Saccharomyces cerevisiae S288C: one gene and its partners. The gene in region 2 interacts genetically with the main gene of each other region. Each region holds a gene or a part of one and is shown on either strand. Other genes may lie near its edges.

What was found. A genetic interaction does not mean that the proteins touch.
Region 1: of GCN1 (region 2) and GCN2, a mutation in one rescues a mutant of the other (synthetic rescue), as found in Saccharomyces cerevisiae (4 studies listed by BioGRID, with this or other methods).
Region 3: mutations in GCN1 (region 2) and CKB2 together harm fitness more than expected from each alone (negative genetic interaction), as found in Saccharomyces cerevisiae (4 studies listed by BioGRID).

The regions. Positions count from the first base shown.
Region 1 is NC_001136.10:1,024,570-1,031,595, forward strand, and holds GCN2 (serine/threonine-protein kinase GCN2), read right to left. Parts: upstream 5,481-7,026; coding exon 501-5,480; downstream 1-500. Other genes in the region: MRX10 (Mrx10p), read right to left, coding at 1-186; DPP1 (bifunctional diacylglycerol diphosphate phosphatase/phosphatidate phosphatase), read right to left, coding at 5,981-6,850. UniProt on the Saccharomyces cerevisiae protein: Metabolic-stress sensing protein kinase that phosphorylates the alpha subunit of eukaryotic translation initiation factor 2 (eIF-2-alpha/SUI2) on 'Ser-52' in response to low amino acid, carbon, or purine availability.
Region 2 is NC_001139.9:127,829-136,142, reverse strand, and holds the start of GCN1 (Gcn1p), read right to left. Parts: upstream 4,619-8,314; coding exon 1-4,618. Other genes in the region: D-serine ammonia-lyase DSD1, read right to left, coding at 4,974-6,260; MDS3 (Mds3p), read right to left, coding at 6,982-8,314. UniProt on the Saccharomyces cerevisiae protein: Ribosome collision sensor that activates a translation quality control pathway when a ribosome has stalled during translation. Directly binds to the ribosome and acts as a sentinel for colliding ribosomes.
Region 3 is NC_001147.6:403,887-407,044, reverse strand, and holds CKB2 (casein kinase 2 regulatory subunit CKB2), read right to left. Parts: upstream 1,278-3,158; coding exon 501-1,277; downstream 1-500. Other genes in the region: HIR2 (Hir2p), read left to right, coding at 1,657-3,158. UniProt on the Saccharomyces cerevisiae protein: Regulatory subunit of casein kinase II/CK2.

The sequences.
Region 1 (7,026 bases), on a different chromosome or scaffold from region 2:
CATTGTCTTGATATTCGTATCCACTGACTTGTGTTCCCTATTGGTCTTCTTCTCTGTAGCTAGTTTACCTTTCCAACGGCCATCTTGCACTTCTAAATTCTGTATTGATAAACTAGTTCCTAACCGTCTAATTTGGAATCGTGATACGAAACCGAATGTGCTAGTCAAACTTCTGAATGAAAGCATTCTTCACGCCATATTATGATCATTTATTAAATGTCTCCCGTAGGAGCTAGAGGAGCCTCACACAACATACGCACACATTTATATTCACCGAAAAATTAAATACAAAATGGAAAGTAGAGAAAGGAGAGAAGAAGTAGACCATCTCATTAAACCTACATTTGTCTTTAGTATCAGGAATATGTATAAGAAAGGTGACCTACCCCCTTTACAACGGTGAATTAGATGAATCAGCTAGCCTAAATATAGTATCTAAGACATTGTATATACTTTACCTTTAACTGATGCGTTATAGCGCCGCACAGATCTTTAAAGGCCTACCTCTGTAAATCGATAACAGATGATTTTCCGGTTTTGTGGCAGTATAATATTGCCCACCTATTCCCTTTATGAGCCTCTTTGGAGAGGTTATTATAAATGCTCGTGGCAAAGCTTCTAGGAGTCGAGTTATTACCTGACCCAAAAACTTTTCTCAGCCATTCTTCCTTCTGAGCCAAAGAAGTAATTGAGATTATTTCTAAAGTTTCATCTCTTAAGGCATCAACAGTGATAATTGGTGCATTGGATAAATTGTGTAATATCATATTCGAAGAATTTCTGGCTGCATCCTCATAAACCCACTTTTCCCTTTTATTAGCTTTCTTAGATCTTGTAGCCATGTTTGGAACATAAATTACCTTTTGATTATTAGTCGAACCAGCAACAACATCATCTATGTCACCTTCTTGACTACTACCGGCACTGCTGTTTTCATCCCATCTTTTAAATTCATCAGCCTTATCGCCCAAAGTGAGACTATCGTTGATCAAAGATTTATTACCAGTTTCTTGTTGGTACAAGGTTAAAAACTCATCAAGATCTAAATCTATGTCAACATTAGTGCTCAATTTTTTTATTTTTAATGGCTTGTACTTTCTCTTGTGATTGGTTAGTGGATACGCTTGTTGCTTAATCAGCAAAATCCAGTCTATACCATCCTGTTGAGCGCCAGTAACGACATCATCCACCGAGGAACAATCCCTTAACATATCCGCTTTAATGTTTTGCTTCCACAATGTATTCAGTATTGTAACCCCGATTGTGTCCAACAAAGAGTTCGAAAAACTCGATATCAATACATCACACCTGCTTGGCTTCCAATCAACAGCTGTATCTTTCAAAAACCTATTTCTCTTCTTTATCCTATTTCCAGAAGCGAGTTTGAAATAGTTTTGGGCTATACCGAATATTGTTTCCCACGCTAAGTTGAAACCTACAGCCTTACGAGTATTGCTGCTCTTTTTTCCTGATGGTCTGGCAAAAAAGGATATCAAAGTGTCATACCTCCCTCCAGCAGCTATCATATTACGTGAGGATCCATCGTCATAAACTGCATGAAACATGATACCTCCTTTGTAAAAAGCGCTATTGTAGTTACTCAAAGGAGATATCACAACATTTCTTGCAACTTCTAAGGGTTTTAGGTAACTGAGAACCTTTGATATATGGGACAAAGAGTCCTCAATTTTTTTTAGATGCGGACTATCAATCATCAATTTATACAGGCGTTTTTTGGCTGCTTCGAAGTCCAGTCTAAAATCAAATAACTCCAAATCATTCAATGCCGTAGAAGATATGTTCAGTTGCGCCTTTAGTTCATTCTTTACTTCCTTGAAGGACCTTGCAAAGCCTACTTGCGACAACATTCGTGAAACTAGAGGCCTTTGGGCTTTATCAATATTTGTAAAGTTGAAAACACTCTCCAAAATATCAGCATGATTTAATATGAAAAAAGTGTTTGTTTTCTCAAATACAGGAAATACGGTTAATATTTCATCGATAATTTTCAAGCTTTCTGCATCATAAAATCCTGACTCTGAGGAAGATTTTGAAATTATGTCGAAGTCAATCTCACCAAACTTTCTAGGTTCCAAACTTGACCTTGAATGATCAGGAGGTCGGTAAACGTGCTGCATCCTATATTGCTTAGAAATCAGACTTGGATTTTTAGATAGATACCTAGCCATAGGATAAGTTAAATCATATTGTAACTGCAAGACGGTACCGCCCTTGTCAAGCACTTCATATACATTCTGCGTACCGTATATGGGGGCCTTTGGAAAAATCCTCGGAGGAGCATTATTTTCAATTCCTCCATGTTTCCTGAAAATTTTAACTACCTCTTCTGTCATTTGGGACCTGAGAATGTTTGCGAAAGGAGTGGATGTTGGAACTGAGTTATCAAATAGAATATCATTTGTTAGACTGTAAGATTGGTTAAATAAACTTTCTCGAACTTGCTGTTGCCAAGGGGATGAAGGATTCGACAAACTTTTTAAAGCCTCTTTGATTACTTCATCCTGATGCTTCACAGGAAGCCAACCACTATTTAATAATGTCCTAGCACCAGGCCTTTTATTGGGATCATGGTCTATGAGTAACCTTATAATTTTCTTTTCAACTTTCATCTTATTATCGTCGAAATCAGGAGGAAATTCTATCGACACTGATCGTAACTTTTTCAAAATATTAACTCTCTCCATACCTGTACTGAAAGGATAGATCATTTCAAAAAAAATGATTCCAAGTGAATACATATCAATCTTTTCATTATAGTGACCTGTACCATCTAAAACTTCAGTAGCAACATACATTGCTGTACCAATGGCGGATGTTAAATTATCTGAGCTGCCTGGCAAATTCTGTGAATCTAGCTTAAGTATATCCAGAGATCTATGGACGTTCTTAGCTAACCCAAAATCACCGATTTTAACATTTCTCGATTCATCTATAAAAATATTCATTGGCTTCAGATCCCTATGAATGATACCCTGGGAATGTATATAACTCAGTGCTTCCAAAATTTGTCGAAATAACCTCCAATATTCATCACGTTGTTGATTTAAATTTTCAGAATGGATCAAATCATATAGCGTTCTATTTTCACAGTACTCCATTTGAATAAAAAGCGTACTTTTCTTCTTAACAGCAGTCATCGGTTTTACAAAATTCCTCCTTCTTGGAACGTTCTGGATACTCTTTGATTCTTTATCAGTATCATCTTGACTTTCGCTCGAGGAAGTCGAGGAAGTATCATGGTCTAGATCTTCATTTTCATCATCACGAGAACTATTTTCAAAGACAATATCCGGATATCCTGACCCCGATATGAAATCCCAGTTACTATTATCCAAATCGTGATTTGTTCTATTTTTAAAAATACTGCTTTGATCTAATAAATCATTTTCCTCAAAATCAGAGGAAGATTCGCTCAAGTCACTTTCTTCATCAGTTGATTCAAAAACGTTTTCATCCATACTGTCTTCTTCTAACCATGCAGCATAGTAACGCACAACATATTGATGATTTAAGCTTGCTAACAGCATTACTTCACTCAATATAGTAGATAACTTTTCTTCTGTATGTCTAATCTTCTTGATCGCATAGTATCTGCTATCGAGAGCATTACGTGCCTTGACAACTTGTCCAAATGCGCCCTGGCCTAAAACTGCAATCTCTTCAAAGTCAGAAGCATATCGTGATCGCGTTGCAGGATTTATAGAAGAGAATCTGGAACCAACATTAAATGATCTTCTTCGTATACTCGATTGTGAAAGTGTTCTACCTCCATTGCCCCGAACGGTTATGGTATCTCCAGGAGTTAACTCCAAGGAATTAGAATTGACACTTTCGGAAACTAAGTTAAATCGATTGATTGTAGAGTCAATATTGGTCCTTAAGAATTTCATGGGCAGTAGTTCTAATGTTCCTAATCTTTTCTTCGGATCGTTATTAAGCATTTTCGAAAGAAGATCATATAAAGTTTCATCCATACTTGTTGAATCTAGGAATTCTTGAGGCGTTTCAAAATTCATCACTATATCAGATCCACTGATTATCTGGATAAACAAAACACCAAGTTGCCAAATATCAGTTAATCTTTGAGGTTTGGCGTTATTGAATTTCAACAACTCAGGGGCTATCCATGTACTTGGAGATAACTCAACCGAAGAACCATTTTTATTTGGATATCTCGATAGCATATTCAAAACAGTGTAGCCATAAGTGGAGTGAACTAACTTGGGAATAGTGCTTCCAAAATCTGCATCCTTCACCAGGATCACGGTTTCTAAGTTGATACATTTATGAACAATTCCCAATTTGTGTATGGCCTCCAATCCTTCAAGCAATCTAATCATCCAAATACGCGCTGTTGCTAAGTTAACAAATCCAACAGATTGTATCAAATCTCCCAATGGATAGTAGTTACAGTACTCTGTCAAGAGTCTTATTTTCCAAACAAACGTTGCATTATTTCTCCCCATGCGCTCCACCGTATAACCGAACAATCGATTCACATTGTCATGCTTAGCTTTCAACACCGTCTCTAACTCTTTCTCTAAATTTGCTATTTCTTTTTTTCCATTACTTGTGTTGAAATAGCTATTATCCAATTCAATTTCAGATAGCAAATAGTAGAAATTTTCCATCATTTCAGAAGACATTAAAAAATCTGCCAACGGAGATTCTGGTGGTATATAAGGCTTCACAAGAAATTGTTTGGAAAAACTAAATATATCTGATGTCAGTTTTATTGGCTTAGGATTTACAACTGCTTTAAACTTGAACATTGAGTTATTAGGCAATTTTGCCTTTATAGTTTTTGAAAAGACAATAGCTTCACCTGATGCAACCCATTCTGAAGGTGGTTGTAAATCTAACTGGGTTGTTCTGTTGAATAGCAAATCATCATCATCATCTTGTCTTTTCTCCAACTCTCTTTGAACAATTTCATCTATCCTTCGCTGCTCATCTGATCTTTTTTTTATTGTTTCCTGTTGTTTTTCTCTTTCTTCCTTTTCTAATTGTTCTTTAGTTTCTTTGATTCTTTGTAATCGATCATCTTCCAAGGACTGTGTATTTACCACATTTTGAAATTCGTCCAGTTTTTCTTGAGTAAAAGATGTAATTTCAAATATAATCTCTTGGCCTCGGGAGGTGTTGTGGATTTTCTTAAATTCACTTTTCAGCATTTGCAATTGACTATCCATTACATTTTGTACATTTTTGAATTCTATTTCTGGAGCGGTATAAGGATACATTGGGGTCATCGCAAAATGTAATGTTATAGAAGATTCAACCGGCTCTTTGTCAACAGATCGAAGCGTAATTTCGAATATAATCTGTGGCTGCTTATCCCAGCTAGACTTTCTTTTAGTTAAGTCAGTAAAGTCATCCATATAAATGGAACGTATCGCTTCAAGTTCGTTGCACTGTATTTCATAATATTGATCTAAAGTGAGATGACTCAATGACATTTATACATAGTATGTGTTAAGGGGAACGGAAAATTATTGAAAAAAAAAATCAATGCTTATAAAATCTTAAAAGACAACGAGGCTTTCCAACAATGTAAAGATTGAAAATTTAGTGTATTTAATGTCCTTTTGTAATGAAAATAACTTCTTGTAAGAAAGAAGATAGAGATAAATGTAAAAGTAAATTTGCTTAAAAAGATTCTAGGCTGTTTATAGATTGATTACACCAGGTTCTTATCTCAAAAATCAGCTACTCAACTGCTTCCTAAGAAACTACCTACATCACTATAGTCCAACTTAAAACAAATAATAAACTTCTAAGGCTTTCGTGTAAAGTGATGTTGGGATTGTCCGATGAAATAACAAGCAGGCCCTTGCACGTCAAGATTAATTTGAATAAAGAAGTAACATGTCATCTTTATGTAATCGCTGTTATTCCATACAGAACAATAAATACGTATATTTCGTATGTCATGTGGAGTATATATTCTTTTTTATTCTTACATACCTTCATCGGACAAAGGATGTAATTCCTCATCCGGGATCCTCTGATGGGTGACTGCTTCCTCCAGGGTGACATCTGAATCGTCCATCAATGGTTTGAACGGAAGAGGATCATCAATGGGTGGGAAGATTCTTCTGTAGAAAAAGTGTGCCATTATATAACCCAACATAGACCCTAAAATTACATCGACGAAATGATGTCTGTAATCTTGAGTTCTGGATAGAGCAATTAGTGCAGCTCCTAACAGTGGTAGAAAGGCCACCATTTTTCTCCATAAAGGCATCAACGGTGATTCAGTCAAAAGTTGCCCACATAGCCAGAAGTACAAATAACCCAGTCCTGCAAAGCTTTCACTTGAATGACCTGACGGAGTTGTCCTAAACCCATCCAACAGACGTTCGTGATTCTTAGTCGTACACACATCTTTTGCAGTAAATAAAGTGTCCAATGGCAAGCCTTCAACAGGTTGGCAACGATCTAGAAAATCTGGTCTTAGTCTTCCAATCCAATTCTTGATGAAGTTTGTAAAGAAACTCGTACTGAACCAAGCGAGTGATAAACCAAGGAGAGATGTGTACAAAATAAAAATCAAATGTCTTCTATCGGCCAAAATGGAACCAATTATCAATATGGTTAAAGATGGCACGACAAAACTATAAACAAACAACATGTTGTTATTTACACGTTCAGTTGTCGCATAAGGATGCGATATAGTGAGATCGTTAATGTAAAACTGACGTTCGAACGGTTGTTGGTAATACACTGGGTAGTTAAGAAGTATCATGATAATGAGCAAAAAGACATCTTCTAATCTCCATTTCGCCCCTATGTTGAAAGGCGTTTTAATAAACGAAACTCTGTTCATTTTGGTCGTTTGCTATGATTTAATTCTGATTCTTTGCCTTTAACAATTGATAACGTGCCCTTTATTGAACTGCTAACTACTCGAAAAATTGGACACAATTCAGTTTATAGCAGGTGTCCTTTAAGTGATGTTTGCTGATTTCCGAACTGCGCGTATGTTAGTGGACCCTAGATAAC
Region 2 (8,314 bases):
TTGTTGGATCACCGATAGCTTGCAAAAGTACGGGCACCAATTTCTGAATTTCCGGATTTCTGATAACTTCACCGAATCTTTTCAAGGATTCATCAGCGGCCTTACGCACCTCTTTGTGAGAGTCGTTCAATACACCAACAATTTCTGGGACAATGGTGGACAAAGAAGCTGACAATTGAGTAGGATCTAAATAAGCCATATTACCCAACAATTGAACAGAGCCCCTCTTAGTTCTCCAAGCAATTTCATCCAAATTAGAAACAGCAACTGGAATTAACTTTTTAACACCGTAACCTGTAGTATGCGCCATTATAGCCTTAGTGGCACGAGCGGTTGCATCTCTAACTTCAGGAACAGCATCCCCTAAATTCTTTAAAATATTTGGAAGAATTTCTATCACATATGGTTCAAAAAACTTTCCTAGAGATTCAGACAAATATTGAAAGCAGAAGCCAACAGATTCACGTCTTTTTGGCTCCTTTTTATCTTCTGCAGCTTCGATGAGGTTGCGAATAATGTCAAACTCCGAGAGAGCCGAGATACCGTAACCTTTCACTAAACCAGCGATACCCCAAGCGGCACCTTTCCGCATAGAAGAAGCAACAGTTGGATTCAGCAGTTTCTCCATTAGGATACCCAAGTAATCACCAACTTTTTGTTTGAACTGGAAAACTAGTGGTGCTATACAAGCCGACACAGCCTGTTGAATATCCGCAGAAGGAGTATCCAAAGTTGAAAGCAATCTTTCAATGATCGTGTGAATCCTTGCATCACTTTGCTGTAAATGTCTTGCTAATGTACCATACAAAATAATAACGTTCTCTTTTAAGGCACTGTCCGTACTGGAGCTTAATGCTTCTTCAAATATAGGAATTAAATCCTTCGAGTTTTGTGAGCCATGTAACGTAATTAATTCAACACCAGCTTCTTTCATTTCTTGACGAACAATAGGCTCTCTGTCTACTAGACCTCCATCATCGACCAAAAATTTTATAATGTTAACGACAGTATCATCCTCTGCAGAAAAAGCCTTAGCCATGATTTTTAATGTAATAGCAACGGTACTTCTTCCTTGCCATGGATCTTTTTGTTCACTCGCAGAAACAAGAACCAAGCCAAATTGATCAAGAATTGGCTCCAATGGCTTTGCCTTTTCTTTATAAAAGTTCAGCAAATCATTTAAGTAATCTTTCGAGGAGTTCTCTTCAGAGGTAAACAGACTTACCGCACCAAATGCGTACGCGTTTGCCGCAAATAATCTCAAGCCACTATCATCCTGATTGAATAGTGGGAATAAGCTTTTTAGTAATTCATCGTTGACTACAAATTTGTTGAACTCCCAAATGAAATCTGCAATCTCGCGGTTGGAAGGATCCGAATCAAATCTGCAAATGAAAACTTCAGGTGAATATTTCATAAAAGGTTCTAATTCGAATTCGTTATCAAGAGTTTCTAATATTGTTGAACGGACAAATTGATTTGGTGATAGTAAATTTGATAGTATCATATCAAGGTCTTCTTGATTTGGTGCAACAGATATGCTTTGGCACAGAGCGTTGAAACAATCTTTAGCAATCTTCGCTTTTGAGGGTAAAGATAGAAGAGATAGTAACACTTCAACAATGGAAATTCTCGGAATGGAAGGATCCTCAAAAGCTTCAGCGTGTACAGAAATAATTTCCATGGCCAGTAACAGATGTTCTTCTTCTTCATCTTCTTCAACAAACTCAGCCTTAACAACAGGCTTGTCCGCATTCTTTAATGCAATCGCCTTACCCTTTTCTAAAACATTAATCAACAATGGTAAAATATATGTCAAACTGATGGAATCTATTGCTGCTTGGTTGGAGACGAACTTGATCCTAAAAAGAACTCTTGTAAGTAATTCAACCAGTGGTTCTTGTAAATAATCTTGCGAGATGCCATTAGCATTGTGCACACGCAAAGTCGCCAAACCTAAGAAAAGTCTGATATTACCTAATCTCTCGGAGACATTTTGAGAAAGCTGCAAGAACACATTATTTACATCCTCTGTTAGCTTTGAAATATTTGGTTCCGAGCATAGGTACAAAAGCTTTGTGACTGCCAAGGGGAACCAAGTAGCGATGCCATTTTGGACTAAGCAAGCAGCTTTGGAAAGTTCAGATACCAATCTAATACCACGCTTTAAACGAGTGGAAATTTCCGAAACGTGTGATCTAACTGCAGATTCTTTCGCTAACTGTTCATTAACGAGCTCTTGTTCCTCTTTTGAAAGTTTTTTCACATTCTTTTTGGCTTGCTCCTTCCTTATTTTTTGTTCCCACATTAGAGTTTCGTACTCTTTAGAATTTTTATTGGAAAGTTTCTTATTCATGCTTTCTTCCAGGACGTCAACCACCAGAACACCTTCCTCTCCTGCAAAAATTTCGAAGTCCTCTTCAGATAAACGTGAGAAATCATCCGCGGTTAAATCTGCTTCGATAGTCTTACAAAGGATCGGTGTGAACTCATTAGGCTGAATAAATGCTGCATAGGCAGCTGCTTGCAAACCGCATGCACCATAAATTGTATCTATCCATTCACAACTACCTGTGATTTCAAGAATCTTCTCCATGATAACGCTAGCATGTTCTTTGACAACTTCAGCTGGATCAAGCCTTGCACGTAAAACTAAACCAGCCCAGCCATTCTTAATGTTGAAAATATTCCATTGCGCTATGACCAGAGCATTGATTAATACCTTTATCGAGGCTTCCTTGTCAGGTAACTCAGACGTAATGGCCAGTAGTACAGAAGTGACATATTTAAAGGATGTATTTTGTTGAGGTATTAATTCTTGGACACGCATTCTCCTTTCAATTGCATCAATCACGCTAAACCCAATAAATTCGGGTTTCTTGTAGAACAATTCTTGTAGTAAATTAACAGCATGAATACGGTTTTCGATGGATAGCTCTGTTGATAATGCAGCAGTTAAGATAGCATCACCTATCGAAGAATTTTCAGGAAGGGTTTCTATGAGCTGCATAACACGATCATTTAGCTCAGTATTGTCCAATGCCAAAATTTTGTTTGTAAATTCAATTGATGCTAGAATACATGCATGCCCGTGAGTCTGATAATGTATGATGGAGTCTTTCACAAATTCCAAACAACCGTCTATAAAGTTTAAAATCACCTCTTCAGAGGCAGCATTGGAATTGTTCAAAAATGCGGCAAACCAGCATTTTTTCAAAGCAGGTTTTTTATCTGCAAAACCAGCTGATATAATTTTATCCAAGTCTTCAATAGGTTTGCCCAGACTAAAATAATGAACAAAAAAAGCGTTAAGCATTAGAGTCAAGGCTGCTTCATTACCTTCTTTACCAATATATGGGGACAGCCCTTTGCAGATTTTTTCTGAAACCTCATAGTGCGTTAAGGGTATTTCTATGAGAATTTTGGAAATAAGTGATTTGTAATCTGCATTTAAGTTCGATTTGATGTTCTTAAATATTTCGTCAATAAGCTTGGTCAAATCTTCCAAGGTAGTGTCAGTATTGGAAATTTTTCTCAATAAGATTATCATAGACTGAAGCGAGACGGATCTAACTACCTCTTTTGAGCTTTTAAATGACGAGAAGTATTGATTAATCAGTTTCGAGGAAGCAAAGGCATTTAAGAGATTTACTTTTTCAGGAGAAACACCAGCATATAACTCAGATAAAATCGAAAAACCAACCTCAGGAGATCTTAAAACTGCTTTTTCAATATTAGGGATGAAAAACTTAATGAATAACTCTTGTGAAACAAATTCTTTTAAAAATGGCTTCAAACCAATCTCTAAGCAAAAGGAAGATGGTGGGTTTTTGCCTAAAAACACTTCTTTGCCCAAATATTCGCAATATTTCTCTGCAGAATTTTCCTTTAAAACGGAGTGCAGAGCTGGTTGCCTCGATAATAACTGAAGTGCAGCCTGAGTTAGTGCACCCATTATCATAACTACTCCAACACTGGTTATCTTCAGCTTAGAGTAGCTCTCCAGTACAGTTTTAATTGAAATCTTCATGAAGGAAATACTGTCGTCATTATCCTTCAAGCACTTAAGGAATGCTTTGACCGTTGTTTGGAAAATGCAATAACGAATTCTCTTTCTATGCTGGTTCTGCTTATCTTGGGATTTCTTGCCTTCTTCTTGATTGTCAAGAATAGTTTCCACACCGAACGTTGCATAAGAATGGGCGACCAACAATTTTGGAATGTACTCTTCAAATAAATTAGAATTATGCGACACAAAAATCAAGAAAGAATTAATCCAATCTAACAAATTAAGGTAATCAGCGACTGCTTTGGTAGCCGGATTACTGATGACCACGTCGGAAATGAATCGGATAAAGTTTTCTAGGAGACATGGCTCTAGATTTAAGATGTCAAGCAATATTGAAGTTACCAAACTTTTAGACCTATTGTCTTCGTAAATCGTGAAGGTATTCAATAAAACGAAAGCAATTTCAGATAATTGAGGTTTTTCCAATGTTTCTTGACGAACTAATTGTGATATATCTTGCAAAAAGGGAACTCTTTTAGACACGTGTGATTCGCGGGTGCCTTTCTCTAAAACAGGGGATATATCTTCCCAGTTTAAGATAGCTGTCATCACTGTAGGAGTTATTGGTGTCAGTCAGAGCTTTGTTTGTCTTAATGATCTACTTCAGGTTTAATAAGTACAACTCAAAGATCTTTTCGAAGGTTTAAATTATTCAAATTTTTCATTCGTACGTAACGACTTTATTGAGAAGCTCAATGACGGTAGTTGAAATTTCATAGCATTATATCAACAAATAAATCTGTATTACAATTACCAGCTCGCAGGTAATGCGGAAGCTTAACAAGAGGGTGTTTAGACCAACCTGTGTACAACCTTACTCTTAGTTACTATTTATAAATAGATACACAATTACATAGACACAGAGATGCTTTGATGAGAGTGATAACCAACGACAAAAGAGAGCTTACCATTTCTGAAAAGGTAACCAAACATCGTTGACAATGCCTTCGCTGTTTACCACGAAATAATATGGAAATTGTCCCATTGTGATACAAGCGTGTTGAGGAAGGACGGCAATTTTGCTGCCTAATTTTAATGGAGTAGTTTCGTTCCAGTTTCTTATTGGCCTCAGTATCCCGTGTTCTTGAGAGACCCTTGCTACATACCATTCCCTACTGAAACTCTCGGATTTTAACACATGTTCCAAATCAGCACATATTCCAAACCCTTTTATTGAGGATGCTTCTCGCGTTAGACACATTACACCTGTATTACTCAACAATTCACCTCTAGAAGGGTAAGATGATAGTACTGTTCCTAATACAAAACCAGACAATTCGTGATCTTGGACACAGCCTGTTGCCACCTGTTGCAGGTCATACATGCAGTAATTACCGCAGTGGATTTCAAGCGTACTAACTAATTGAGTAGTAATGAATTTAACAAGGGTACTTTTATTATCGAGTTTCAAAGAATTGGAAGTCGGAGTAGCGCCCACAGAAAGTGTTAATTTAGAAGGATCAAACTGAGGATCCACAGAGCACAAAACTTTAGCGGCAGAATTGACTGCTTTCACTTCTTCCATCAAAAGATTCTGAGTGTCGTTGATCGAGGTTGAAGAGTAGCTGTGTCCGGCATGAGCATAAAACCCATATGGCTCAATTACTTCTTTAATTTCTGAGGAAGTCAGTTTTTTTAAAAGACTCAAAAATTCTGGAGAGTCGAAAGCAAGACCTGCCCTCTTAGTCCCCATATCAACCTTGATAAAAACCGACCATTTCTTGCCGGAAGCAGGCCTACCGAAATTCTTTAAATTCTCCAAGTGTTCAATGTTATCAACAAAAACCTGAAAATTATTCACCCTTCTTGACAAATTGCTCAAAAGAGGAATAAACTCTGGAACGCAACAGGGTAAACTATATGTTATATCGTCAATATAATCCGAACATTGTCTATCTTGATAATTAAGAAGTTCTTCTGCTTCTTTCAAAGTTGATACTAATATGGCTCTTGTAGTGCGTTTAGCCAATGGAAGTCCGTGGCCCAATTGTTTCAAAGTTCCCTTTGCTGTCTTATGCGTTTTTACGTGTGCACGAAATTTGATTGGTACGCCACATTCCTGGCTGAGCTTTTCAACGTTGTTCAACATTGTCGTACAATTCTTATCAAATTTTTCTTCATTAATAACGAAATTGGGTGTGGGTAAATCTCTGACTGAGCACCCTTTATATTGAGATAGAACATCGCTCATTTCAAACTCTTCTTAGGAGCAATATTATACTTCCTTATCAAGAAATGAAGTATTTATGTGCACTTAATTCCCTTTCGTGTTGAATAAAATTGACAGTAAATAGTGGAAAGAAATCTTTTCACTCAAAAGCTTTATATATGTACACATATTGTTGTTCCATGGTTTTGAGAGATATTTTAACTCCGTCTTATCACTCTCCGACGGATTCGGCCCGATGTAAAAATTGTATTGCTAGTTATGTTCCGACATTTGGTTATGCTATATCGTGGGATGTATTCAATTTTCGTGTTATGATTAGTCTGTGCCTCATTATCTGAATTTGAATTGTCCTGAGCTGACCTGGTCTGCCCGCTTCGATAAACTGCAAATACAGGAACCAGATAACCTTATCAGAAAGTCAATAGTAGACGAAATACTAGTGTGCGGAAACTAGTATGATACAAGATGTTGTCTTATCAACGAATACAGCAAATGCAACCTATACTAATAACTTACATAGTCATATTCACCGGGTAATTTCGGTTGAATCTGTTCACAAAGCAATATTTCATAAGCAATAAACCTTTGCAATGAGTAGCTTTTTGGTGCCAACTGTTTTGATAGCAAAGAAACAGAAAAGTGGCGCCCATATGGAAGCAATCCGTTTTGAGATGTATAGCAGCATATTCTTGGATTATTAAGAACTTTATATGTGCGAGTAACTATCCTGGGACGTAGCGGTCTATGGTGACGGTTTAGAGATGCCTTTCAATTTCGAAATATCTTCCATAGTTTTTTTCTTGAGCGCTCGTAAATTTTTAGATAATTCAATGCAATCCATGCAACGAACCATTAGTCTGATATCGTTCACTAACACAGTGGTTCTGTATATTGATTTTATGACATAATCAACGGGAGGTAGGGCATTTGCAGACGCCATATTTTCTAATGTCAAAACAGAAAATGCATTAAATGAACGATTGTCCCTGAATGGCTTTCCAGAAGCCGAACTAGTTCTTGTGGTAGACCCGTATGCTCGAATGGGACTTTGAGGGAAAGCAGATGATTTAAATAAAGGGTCTACAGAATCGTCCACCTTATCGACATGCTTGGCTTCTCTTTTTATTTTATTGAGCGAAAGCATTCCCAAACCAAAATCGAATTCTTCCTCCTCCTCCCTTACGTCTCTAGTTTCCTTACCTTCCTTGGCTTTCAAGTTATTTTTTTCATGCGGTAAGTAATTGCGTTTCTTGTCATTTGATATATCCTTCGTCACTTTATCATCTTCTTTGTTTCTGAATCTTGCGTCTAAGATCTCAGCAGAATCTTCTCTTTCTATTTCCAATAAATCTTGAAGTTGCTCTTGTTCTTCTTTCTCTTCTAAATCACTGCTACTAATGCTGTTAGTGCTACTGCTGCTGATGGAACCATAATTCATATCAAACAAATGAAGGTTAAAACTTCCGATGTTGGTTTGTTGATCATCGTTATCATCAAAACTTTTGCCCTCTTTTGGTTCGTACTCTTCATAAAAAGTTTTGGGATCTATTTCCTTGCTTAAGCTCGATTTCATCTTAACGCGTGGAGAAAATCCTGATGTCGATCTTCTTGAGCCTTGTATATTCATACTGTTTGGAAAACCAATGGAGCCTACTGAATTGTGGCTATCTCTGGGACCGCCAGCAAATACTGTAGGGACATTGGTTGAAGAAGTCTCCAGAGAGCCAGCGCCAGTTGCAGTTTTTTCGCCGTTTGCACTACCACTGCTTTCTTGTGTGCTTGAAGACTGTGCTCTTGACTGTTTGCGTAACAAATCTGGGTCATAATACCCATTGTCGATATTCTCCAGCGACACTTTTAATTTCAACAGTTCCTGATAGTTATCGTTTGAAGTCAAATAAGTATTTGTTTTTTCTTCATCACCTTTATAGGAGTTCAGAGTTTTGGTGCGAAAGGTCTCCATTAACGAAGTACATATTAAGGATAAACTTTCTTCTTTTTTAGCCAGAATCGAATATAAAACTTCAAGGATCAATTTATACAGTAATGGTATTTCATAAATCTTGGCCATTACT
Region 3 (3,158 bases), on a different chromosome or scaffold from region 2:
ACCAAAGAATGAGTAAATCTCCTCTTTTCAGTACTTCCAGATTAGTCTTCAAACAGCTTTTGAGTTTTTAAAATATAAACCGCCTCTTAGTTCATAGGCAGTCTCCACGCGATGCCGCCACTTCTCCAATTTCTTGATAAATAAGGATGCTTCCTACATTCAAAGATTTCAAGCTATTCACTAAAATAACACCAATAATTCGTGGGTAACCACATTTGCAAATTGTTGATATATAACAGGCTAACTTCGGAGCACGCTCTTTTATCTGGTTGTATTATTGCCGTAAGGGGCAATAACGGTATATAAAAATTTAATATTAAATAGGAAAAGTAAAATACGAATGGAGGTAGAAAATAGTAATATTCTAGGAAAGAAAATGCTAGGAGAACAAATGATACCTGATTTTCACAATTTTATGACGAAGTTTCTCCATTATTTTCATTTTCGTTTTCAATTTCGCCTAGGATTTCATTTCGAATTTTTTCTTCTTTCTTTAATAGTTAGGTTTTAAAACCACCACTTTTCGTCAAATCAACATCTTTGGATTCAAGTTTCTCAACTAACTTGAGTCGTTGTAGTTCTTGCCACCTTGTCAGTTGAGCTTGTTTATGTAATTCAAATCCAAATATTTTTGGAACATATCTTTTAGTTGGGTGTTTGGGTACCATATCTGGAAATGCTTGCAAAAACATACCTGGAAAACTTGTTCCAAAGTATGCACCATCAATGGAACTATGTCTCGATGATTTTGGTATATAAAGATCCTCACAAGATGGACAATATAACTTGACACAATCTATACCAGGAATGTCATGCAAACCAACCGGTAACAACTGTTGTAAATTACAATACACACGGGGACATCTTCCAAAGTCCGCCTCTTTGTACTTAGCGTACATTTTTTGCAATCCTTTGATAGTTATAATGTAGCGTGCATGGATGAGACCATACAGCTTCCGGGAATCTGATTCTAATTGTTCTAAACGGGCATGTGTCATATTCTCTAGGATACTATCATCCAAATCATCCACAATATATTGTACCACGTAGGAAAATTTTGAAACTGTCTTTTGCAAGTTCATCAGATTAAAACGATCAGTGATGTACTCAGGATCGACATCACAGAAATATTCATGGCCTTTTCTCCCAAGAAATAAATCGATCCACATATCCACGTATTCCGATGAGTCAGAGTCATCATCCATGAGGACATCATCTTGTTCCACTCTGGAGCCTTCTCTAGTCACTGTTCCCACATTCTCCGATCTACTGCCCATGATCTGCTTTTCTATCAGTTCTCTAAGTCCCTTAATCTTGAATAATTTGAAAAAAGCTAGTATTTCTCAAGTAAAAGATTGATGAAAAAATACAGCAGGAAAATTCCACGTATCTGGAATGACCAACTTCTTTAAGAATGTGATTTACTTATTCTATTTGGTGCTTGTTTTCATTTGATAAAGGATTGCCAATACACCTCCATTTATTCGCTTTCATATTTTTTCTTCCTGGAAGGTCGACAAAAAAAAGCGCGAAAAAAATATCAGTTAATTCGGCTAGAATTATGAAGTCTTCATAAAACAATATACAAAAAGTGCTAAATCGTCCATACAGAGGAATACGCCACGCAGCAAAGGAGTTCCTACACAATCCGGAACAATGAGATTATTAAAGTATCCTTTGGATATTCATAATGAACAAGTGAATGCCTTAGCTGCCCTTGGTCCCTATATCATATTGGCAGGCAGTGGGGGTCACGTGATGGCGTGGAGACAACAACAACTAGTCGATACTGCATTCGATAGGGTTATGATTAAGGATTTAAAGCCAGAAGTTTCTTTCCAGGTGGATCAGGATACTACCGGTGATATTTTTTTCATAACAGGTGATCTCGAAACATTGTATATTGGATCTGAACATCGTCTGTGGGGTTATTCAGGTTGGCTCTGTAGAGATACAAATAACATCAATTCTGTCGAAAAAATGAACAGTAAGCTTCTGTTCGAGTGTAAATCTCCAAGCACAATAACGGATGTGAAATATGACATAAACTTAGGTATCTTATTTGTTCTTTTAAGTAATGAAAATAAGATACTATTATTTCGGCATAAAACCTTTGATAAACTCTCTGAAATAACTATTGACAAGGCGAGCAAACCTATTACAGGCATAATAGATCCTACTGGCCAAACTTTTACTGTTATGACTTCAGATAGATCAATTTTAGTCTATCAAATTAACAAAACGGGTACACACAAACTCATAAATAAACTTACGCAGCATGTACAAATGTATCCATTACATTATAGAATCTCAATGTCACCTCAGGCAGACATTTTACCAGTGATAAACTCGGTGAAAGGTGTGCCGAATAATGCTACCAGCTGTACCGCTTTACTTGACAGAAATAACAACTACAAAGTTACAAAAACACTGGTAACACCTTCTTCAAATGGATGTAGAGTTCTTGTTTATTCTCCAGCATTTTATGAAAAGCCTAATTTGAAAAAGGGCACCAGCACACGCTATAATTTAATCGCCACTTCGGGATCTACAGACGGTACTATTTTGGTTTGGAATACGAAGAGAATGAAACCTTTGTTTAATGCTCTCCAGGTTTCCTCCACCGCAATAAACGATATGTCTTGGTCACAGGATGGGTTCACCTTGTTTGCCATTTCAAACGACGCGACATTGTATACATTCGCATTCCAAGAGAAGGATTTAGGTGTAGCATTGCCTCAAACGGAAATCAAATCGTTACAAGAAGTAAACAAAAAGCTTCCAAAGCTTGAAGAGCCGTTAGCAGAACAAATACCGAAAAGTTTCCCAGAAAACATCAAATTAGAAGAATCTGCAAGCGCAGCACCTATTCCAAACGATATTGGTAGATCTGCCGTGGGCAAGAAACCGACCAAAAAAAAAACGGCTAACAATCAAACTAATGGCATCAAAACTATCCAGAGCACATCAATGGAATTCAACACTCCATCATACACTGTGCCAAGGGATTTGAAGAGAAAGCCAAAAGAGGCAACTCCAAGTAACATTGCCCCTGGCAGCAAAAAGCAGAAAAAAGAGCTACAGCCAATTGACTTTTTAGATACCGGCTTGCTCCTACCCAATACGTCTTTCTCAAGGATTAGACTTGCAACACCGAA